Caenorhabditis elegans: one gene and its partner. The protein of the gene in region 1 binds, or shares a complex with, the protein of each later gene. Each region holds a gene or a part of one and is shown in the gene's direction. Other genes may lie near its edges.

What was found.
Region 2: him-10 (region 1) and ndc-80 share a complex: the UniProt entries of both Caenorhabditis elegans proteins name them as parts of the NDC80 complex.

The regions. Positions count from the first base shown.
Region 1 is NC_003281.10:5,801,682-5,805,902, forward strand, and holds him-10 (Kinetochore protein Nuf2 homolog), read left to right. Parts: upstream 1-1,578; 5' UTR 1,579-1,583; coding exon 1,584-1,688; intron 1,689-1,739; coding exon 1,740-1,894; intron 1,895-1,940; coding exon 1,941-2,492; intron 2,493-2,548; coding exon 2,549-2,854; intron 2,855-2,911; coding exon 2,912-2,969; intron 2,970-3,016; coding exon 3,017-3,313; 3' UTR 3,314-3,431; downstream 3,432-4,221. Other genes in the region: polq-1 (DNA polymerase theta), read right to left, coding at 135-779, 830-1,066, 1,119-1,242, 1,293-1,361; R12B2.3 (Ras-associating domain-containing protein), read left to right, coding at 3,929-3,933, 3,980-4,073, 4,212-4,221. UniProt on the Caenorhabditis elegans protein: Acts as a component of the essential kinetochore-associated NDC80 complex, which is required for chromosome segregation in mitosis and meiosis and spindle checkpoint activity.
Region 2 is NC_003282.8:10,084,306-10,089,080, forward strand, and holds ndc-80 (Kinetochore protein ndc-80), read left to right. Parts: upstream 1-1,831; 5' UTR 1,832-1,841; coding exon 1,842-1,954; intron 1,955-2,001; coding exon 2,002-2,404; intron 2,405-2,456; coding exon 2,457-2,744; intron 2,745-2,791; coding exon 2,792-3,151; intron 3,152-3,229; coding exon 3,230-3,333; intron 3,334-3,380; coding exon 3,381-3,509; intron 3,510-3,581; coding exon 3,582-3,900; intron 3,901-3,948; coding exon 3,949-4,005; 3' UTR 4,006-4,132; downstream 4,133-4,775. Other genes in the region: W01B6.8 (uncharacterized protein), read right to left, coding at 1-68; col-2 (Cuticle collagen 2), read right to left, coding at 180-805, 853-1,132; ttr-39 (Transthyretin-like family protein), read right to left, coding at 4,178-4,255, 4,298-4,491. UniProt on the Caenorhabditis elegans protein: Acts as a component of the essential kinetochore-associated ndc-80 complex, which is required for chromosome segregation in mitosis and meiosis and spindle checkpoint activity.

The DNA.
Region 1 (4,221 bases):
ATCAACAAATCTTCACCCTAAATGAAAATTATTGTTTGATTTAATTTTTTCCCCAAAAATATTTCAACAAACATTTTGCTTTTAATTTCTTCCGATATTTCGGTTGACCACAATTAAAATTTTAAAACACTCACCTGAAGCCAAAGTACTTGTAGCCACAAGAATAACAATATTTTTCTCCCGAAATCCTAGTTCAATGCATTCTCTTTCCTCCATCGTCAATCCAGCATGATGATATGCTACTCCCCATGCAAGTGTTGACATAACATTCCGATCCTTGCAACCATTCCGTTCCAATCCATGCTTTATAAATAATAGTCCATTGGCTCGTTCTTTTAATATTTCCAACAATGAGCTGTCGGTTTTATTGATCTCATGGAATCTCGACGCAATATTCAAAGCAGTCTTCTCGGCATCAAGTTTCGAAGAAATCATTACCAAAGTCTGAGAATTGCGGCGAAAACTCTCTTCGGTAAGCAATATTAATGGATCTTCAGAGAATTCTCTTAGAACTTTGTTATCTCCAGATTTCCTCAACTCCGAACCAATTACAATATGATTTTGTAGAACAATTGGTCGAAATCTTGCTTCGAAAACTTTCGCACCGTCCAGCCATTTGCCTATTCGATAAAGTTCTGGAATAGTTGCACTCATTCCGATAATTCTAACTTTTTCCAGTGCAGATTGGTTCCAGAGCAAAACTTTCGAGAGCATGTGCTCAATGTGTGCACCACGAGACGAATCGAAAACCATGTGCATTTCATCAACGACTATCATTCCTGAAAGCTACTTTTTGTGAAAATTTTAAATTAAAATCGATTTATCTAACCAATTTCCTCAAACCAATCTTCTGATAATGCTCGATTTGTCAAACTTGCTGCTTTTTCGATGGTACAAACTGCCCCAAGCCACTCATTTGGATTTGAGGCCTGTGGACCAATGAAGCCACAGACAGAAATGTCATCTCGTCTCCAACACCGTTGAATTTGATGAAGTTTCTCTCGAGCCACGGAGATATAAGGAAGTACGAAGAGTACCTTTCTACCAGTTGAAGCGACTTTCCATGCTGAAAATTACAGTTTTTAAACATTTATTCTTTAAACCAGATAAAATAATACATAAAAGTTCAGCTACAATGCTTTTCCCAGCACTTGTTGGCGCACTGAATATCAAGTGTTGATCTTCAAATTGTCTTGCCTCATTCAACACATCAATCTGCCAATCGAACAGCGCTTTGATGTTCTGAAATTAAAAAAATTTTGTCCCTATTTCATCACAGCGATTTATGTTACCTGCTCTGCGTAATAATCGATGATTTTTGAAGAAACCCATTCTGGAAATCTACAGGAAGCCTCGTCCATCTTGTTTCATACTAAAAACTCTGATTTCAGACTGAAAAACATGTTTTTTTCAGCGAAGAAAACTAAAATTTGTTTGTGGCCGCGGTGGCCTAGTTTTCACGGCCGAGAAATGTCACATGTTTTGGCGCGCTCTTCGGCGAATTCAAATAAACTTTTTTGTTTTTAACAATTTCTAACTTTATTTTTGTGTTTTTAGAACTGAAATTCCATTTTTCAGGAGAAATGTCAAACGTTGTACTAATTGTGTATGATCCGCGGATGATTTCAAAGTATCTTGGTCAAAAATTGCATATGGGCCTTGTCGCCGATGACATTATCAAGCCAACCGTAAGTTTGAACAGAATATTGAATTCATCAGCACAAATAACCCGATTTCAGGCAGAAATAGCGCAACAAATATTTGCTAATTTTGTGAGGCTTGTGTTAAATGTGTCGGAAAGCTCGCTGACGACCCTTCCGCTGTCCGCCAACTGTGATTATGATCCAGAATTGCATAAAAAGAGCATTCCTATCATTATTCTCTTCCAATGCATGTAAGATTTTAATTTTAATGTTAGATTTGCTGAAATATTTTTTCAGGAAAGCATTTATCAAAGATAATTCTGGCAACAAGCTGGACTTGACGATGTGCGATCTCGTGACACCTGCAAAACACGAACATCGATTCAGAAAGCTGACAAGTTTTCTTGTAGATTTTCTGAAACTTCACGAATTGGCCACTCCAGCGTTCAATGAAATTAGCGAAGAGTTCAGTGATCGAAAGTTCGAAATGGAAAAGATTCGGGAAGAGTTGTTAGAAGCCGAGAAGAAGAAAAATGATCTTCTCGCGAAACAAAGCATAAGAAAACGTCATGAGCATGAATTAATCAACGAACAGAGCAATGCGAAGGCAGAACTTAAAAATGTTGTGAACGAATATACCGAAACTCGTCAAATTAATGAAGAACTCGACAAGCAGAAAGAAGAAGCTATTCTGCACATTCAAGCCCTCGAAAAGGAAATGCTAACTGGTAAAAAGACAATTGAGCATTTGAATGAAGAAGTTCTGACATCGCCGGAACAGCTGAAACAAGAAATGGAGGAAAGGAAACGTCACATTGAAGAGCTCCGCGATTGTCTTGAATCATCAAAGTACTGATATATCTTCAGTCTCTCCAAAAATTCAAAATAAAAGTAATTATTTTCAGAAAAGGCCTTCAAGCAAAACTCGAGGCTCGTGAAATTTGCATCAACTCGGAGAAGAACGTGCCAGTGATTATTGAGAAGATCCATCAGTGGACTGAAGTTCGAGAAGTTATCATTGACCTGATCGATGTTGAAAGTGAGAATCTTCGAAAGCTCAAGGAAATGGAGGAGCAATTGGATTTTATGATGAAGGAGATGGAAACGGCACAAAAGCGACTCGTCGAGCAGTCGGAGACTCATGAACAATTGCGTATAGAACACACGCAGAAAAGTGAAGAGCGTCAGCGTAGAATTGAGGAGATTACCGAGTGAGGAATTTATTTGATACTTTGAAAACATTTTTTTAAACGATGTAAATCTTTCAGGCAAATCGCAAATTTGAAAACTAGTCAGCCAGATGTGTCACAGGAAATTGCTAAAAAGGTTTTTGTCAGATCAATCTTCATAAAACTCACCAACATTTTTTTCAGAAGCAAGAACTCCTCGCTCTAAAAAACGCACACAGTGAGACGATTTCCCAAATCACCAACTCTTGCCAAGATGCTGTTGCAAAATTCGCAAAACTTAATGCAATGTTCAAAGAAACCCAGAAAGTAGCTTTTGAGAAGAACACTGCAGCTGCACGTGAAATGGAACGTCTAAAAAGCTCTCTTACCGGACGCCTTCTGAGTGATTACACATTCGGATCATCGACAATCGACGCCGGAGAGAACACGGAAAATTGTGATCCACAACCTAACGATTCGAGTTTTTCCGTTTTCAAATAGAATGACTCAACTCGAAAATTTCACTTCATTTGATCTCTATTCAATGTAAATGTTATGCTTTCTTCCATACCAATAACAAAATTTTAACTGAGTCTAAATAAATCATGTGGTCTTTATTTTCAAATGTTTTCTTTTCATTCCCAGGCTCTAGAAATTTCACACCAATTTACTTTTCAGGTAAGAATTCACTCAAGTGGTATTTACGGGGAGATTATGTGCCTCTGTTTTTAATTAAAAATAAAATTAGAAATTTTGAATTTTTTGCCTTGTATTTTTTTGTTTGCGTCTTTAAGACTACAGTAAGACAAAAAGTGGGCGTGGTTTCTTATTTTGGAGAAAGCTCAAACAGGGAATAAGTGAGAGTCGGAAGTTTTGAAACGTTTTTTGAAAAAAAAATTATCTTGAAATGAAAACTTTTCCAGAAATTTTAAACTTCTCTTCGCTCATTAGCTCTACAAGTTGGAATTGTCCTTCTGAATTGAATATTATCCTACCAAAATTCTAAATAAATTTAAATAAATCGTGCGGGCCTCGAGTTATTGCATTCAACATTGACATTTTTCGTTCATTTCTCAATTTTTGTATTGTATTTCTGAAAAATTCACTCTACAAATTATGCAGTAAGCTTTTTCAAATAATGTTCTTTTCAGATTTTATAATTTTCAGACCATTAGACCTTTCGGGTAAGAGATTAGTTCGACCAGATGATTCAAATGGTACAAGATCTTCCACTGATGATGTACATTCGATGTGCTCTCAGGTGAGCATTCATAGTACATGATGATGTTTTAGTTTTATATATGTAAAAGAAACGCTCTTTGAAGTTAATTGCTTTCCATGTGTATAAACTAATCATAAACTAAACTGCAAGAAATTAAAATAAAATTATATTTAAAAGCTCTCAAATC
Region 2 (4,775 bases), on another chromosome or scaffold:
CCCTCAGATGTTATATTGAAATATTGAGAAATAAACGGAAATTTTGAAAATGGAAAATTATTGAACATATTTCGAGGATTACGTTTTTAAAAATATTTCTTCGTGTGGTATGTAGATGTTATAAACAAAGAAGTTGAATGAAAAATGCTTTATTTGGCACAAACGGCACGCTTCTAAATTTAGCGGCGTCGGGTTCCGTCCTCAAAGAAGACTCCTCCGTCGATAGCACAATACTTGGGGCAGATTCCCTTCTCTCCTTCTCCTCCTGGCTTTCCAGCGGTTCCTGGTCCTCCTGGGTTTCCGTCAGCTCCTGGTGCTCCAGCAGCTCCTGGTGGTCCCTTTGGTCCAGCTGGTCCTGGTCCTCCGGTTCCTGGGGCTCCGTCATTTCCGGCTGGTCCGGCTGGTCCTGGTGGTCCAGCTGGTCCTGGCTCTCCTGGTCCTCCTTGCTCGGATGCTCCTGGTTCTCCTGGTCCTCCTGGGGCTCCTGGGGCTCCGTCGTTTCCGGCTGGTCCTGCTGGTCCTGGTGGTCCGGCTGGTCCTGGGCCTGATGGTCCGGCTGGTGATCCTGGGTTTCCATCTGGTCCCGGTGGTCCTGGTGGTCCGGCTGGACCAGCTGGTCCTGGTGGTCCTCCTGGGCATGGTTGGCATGGTGGTTGAGTAACTGGCTCACATGGAGCTGATGCTCCTTTTCCTGGATTTCCTGGGGCTCCTGGAGCTCCTGGCTTTCCTGGCTTTCCTGGTTTTCCGGGAGATCCACCTGGTCCTGGTGGTCCAGGATTGCAGCATCCATCACATCCTCCGCCGCCTGAAAATGTATTCAAATACTTAAACTCTGTGAACCAAGATCCTTACCTCCGCCTCCGCCTCCTCCAGCTCCTCCAGTGGAATAAGCTTGACGAGCAACACGAGTATTGTTTCCTGGAGCATCCTTAATAAGATGCACCTCACTCCAGATATCACGAGCAGAAACCTTGCAGAAATTAACATCAGTGTGAATCTGTTTCTTCACATTATTAACATAGTTATAAACCATTGGCAATGTGATGAAAACAGAGACAACGGCGACAACCGAGAAGGTGACTGCCGAATAGGCAACAAATTTATAAGCTTTGATACGAGCGTCGATGTCCATGATTACTGTTGGAGGGTGAGTGATGGACTGAAGAATTCCAAAAGAACTGATGTTTTTATACTAGAGACGTCCATGGCTATTACTTGGAACTGGTATAATTGTTCTTGTTAAGGAGAAAGAAAAGAGAAAGAATAAGAGGATCCAGTTCTGTGTTATCACTCCATTGGTTAAAGATACTGGTTTATTATTGTAAACTATATCAGTTTCTCGAAGAAAAAAAATTTGACGTAATTATTGGCTGGAAACTTCAATTACAAAAATGCAAATATTAAGGGGCAACTTCTGTTTATCAATATACCGACTGGAAATGATCTAACCATTGTAGGAAAATTCAATTCTATTGTATATTAATCGTGTTTGAAATTATATCTCAAAAGTTCCAACAATTCCTTCATTCTGGAATCTCCGGAAATCAGTTTCCTCGCGAGTGCAGCGTCTCTGTAATGTAAGTGCGCTCCAATCACAATTGCTATAGCGGGAAAATTCAAATGTGACTTCTCTCTCTCTCTCTCGATATTGTTTTTACTCAAATTTCTATTTTCGTTTTTTTTTTCATAAATATTTCTGTAAAAATGTTTTTTCTTCTTTAAGTTGGAAAACAAAGTTCTCAATAGTTGCCAGAATTATTTTTTTAAATTTTATATGCGTCGCCTTCCGTTAGTATATTCAGTTCTGGTCAATTTTATTCGCTCATTACAGTTTCTTGACAATGTTTGGAGATCGAAGAAAAACGGGCGGCTTGAATCTCAACGGACGTGCCTCAATCGCTATCACTCCGACTAAAAGATTCACCGATTATACTGGATCAACATCAGTCAGAAAGTAAAAATATCCAATTTCGTGCGATGAAGAACTAATCTAATTTGCAGAACTGACGCTCGCCCCAGTCTGAGTCAACCTCGTGTGTCATTGTTTAATACTAAAAATTCATCAGTTGCTCCGCGAGATGTGAAATCATTGGTCAGCTTAAATGGAAGCAAAATTTACAACTTTCTTGTGGAATATGAAAGCTCGGATGCACCATCAGAACAGCTCATTATGAAACCTCGTGGAAAGAATGATTTCATTGCTTGTTTCGAATTAATTTACCAACATCTCAGTAAAGACTACGAATTTCCACGGCATGAGCGGATTGAAGAGGAGGTGTCCCAGATATTCAAAGGTCTTGGATACCCGTATCCACTCAAAAACAGCTACTACCAACCAATGGGATCTTCTCATGGATATCCACATCTTCTTGACGCACTTTCTTGGCTTATTGATATCATTAGAGTTAGTAACTGATTTTTTTATTATTTTCATCCCTATTTATTTAACCATTTAGATCAATTCTGCTGTCAGTGAGGACACACAAAATATCCTGTTCGGTGATTTCATGGAACAGGGAAAAGCTCAAGAAAAAACGCTCAATTATGCATGGATGACAAGTACATTCAGAGATTATACAAATGATCGAAAAGCAGCAGAAAATCCCAGTTCTTCATACTGGGACGACACGAAGCATCGTCTACGGAAGTATTTCGAGCAATCCAATGAATTCGAGGATATGACTAAAACAGCTGCATCAGCTCTGGAGATGCTCAATTACGAATGTGATGAGATAGAGGCTGATGTAAGTAGAATTTCGATACTTTTGTTTTAAAGAAGTTTTATTTTCAGAAAGGAAACGAAGCAAGCTTAAAAGAAGAGATATCAAGAATCAGAGACGACATCCGAAAAGCTAAAGATTATCTCGAGCAAAATCTTCATGTTAAGCAGCATATGGAGAAAGAACTGGCTATGGTGAAGTCGGAGCAAGAGGAGAAAATTTCAGAAAATGAAAAAGTGCAAAAGATGGTGGACGATCTGAAGAACAAAATTGAGTTGCAAAAACAAATTCACGGATTGACAGGAAAAGAAGTGCGTCAAATGAATCTTGACAATAATAAAGACAAGGAGGTGGTACTGGAAATTCAAAGCGAGTTGGATCGTCTATCAAAAGAAACATGGAAACTCAAAGATGAAGACTTCTTCAAAGAGGTATTCTAGGTTTTTGGAAAGTTGAATGCCTATCATTCACGGAAATACTTGTATGACAATCAAATTTGTATGTTTCAGCAAAAGTCCAAATTCATTCATCTCGCAGAACAAATCATGAAAATTCTCAGTGGACTTAATATTCAAATGAATCTTGAACCACTAAGAGCTCCAACGAATGAAAGGTAAATTTCTAACAATTTATTAAAAATTCACAAATCTACATTTTCAGAGATCTTAAGGATTACTGGGAGACGTTGAACAAGATATGGGTTCCAGAGATCAGCCGACAGTTGCATCAGAGAAAGCTTGAGCTTGAGACTGAACAGTCAAGATTTTCAAATAAAGCAGTTACCGCAGAGTAAGTTGTACTCGAATTAAGCGCCGTTCCATTGAATGTTAATAATATACACATTTATAAACAATAATTCAGAGAAAGAATCCAAATTCAAAGCGAAACACTCTGTGAAGCGAAGAAGAATGAGGCTCGCGAAGAACGAATTCGTCGAAACGAACGTGATAGCTGGAAAGATGCTCGCAAACATATTGAACAACGATATGAACAACTATTGAATGAAAAAGAAGTACTTCTAAAGCAAATGAAACTTGATGGAAGCCTCGAGAAAGAAATCGAAGATGAGACCGCCAGAATGTCTGCAACTGGAGAAGAACACATACAAAAGAGATCTCAATTGGAAGCTGGAATCCGGCAAATATTGGATCTGATGGTAGTGGAAATCGCCGAGATTGAGGTAGGTCCTGTCAATTTTACTGAGCTATTCTATTTTTCATTTTTTCAGAACAAAAAGATAGGATTCCACGTGCAATGTGCTGGCATTGAAAAGGCGGTTCTTTAGTCTCCTTTGGCATAATCATTCTGTGAATAATACTAGCTTTCATTAAAAGAAAAAAAAAATGACTCTAACATTTATTTCTGTGGTTTAGACTTATTTTATAAAAAGCCAATGAACAATGATTTCCAGCAAAGCGAACTTTAATATATTACACAAAAAATGGTTTCAAGCAAGTTTAATAACAATGTGGTTCCTCTTTGTGCTTCACACCGATTTCCATGTTAGGAACTCCTAAGTCAAACCACTTATTCACCTGAAAAATTATTTTGATGGAGTATGAAGTATCATCAATTACCTGCATCCCCTTGTTCACATAATTGTCTGGGACAGTGAAAGTAATCTTGCGTCGACAAACTTTGGAAGATGAACGACAATTGTGATATATACGTAGTTGGGGATCAATTGCAGTTATTGAAATTGCAAATCCAGATACTTCGAAAGTTCCGTCTTCGTTTACATGGGTTTCAGCAATAAGATCGTCTGGATCGACTGAAAATTGAATTTTTTGTAGTTTTTTGAAGCAATGTTTTATAACGGTTTTGTGGGGATCGTCCCCACAAAAATAGACGAGAGATCCTGTTTTTTAAGTGAACAATGTTTTATCATAATTTGTTCTTGTTTTGGTATTCACTTGAATTTAAATATTTCTAGGTGTATCGTGGCCCTTTACCGTCCAGTGAGTACATTTAGTTTTTGGTAGGAGTGCACAATTTCAGACGTACGCTCCTGCATGCCTACGCGATTTCCTGATTATCTGCATGTAGTCACGCCTA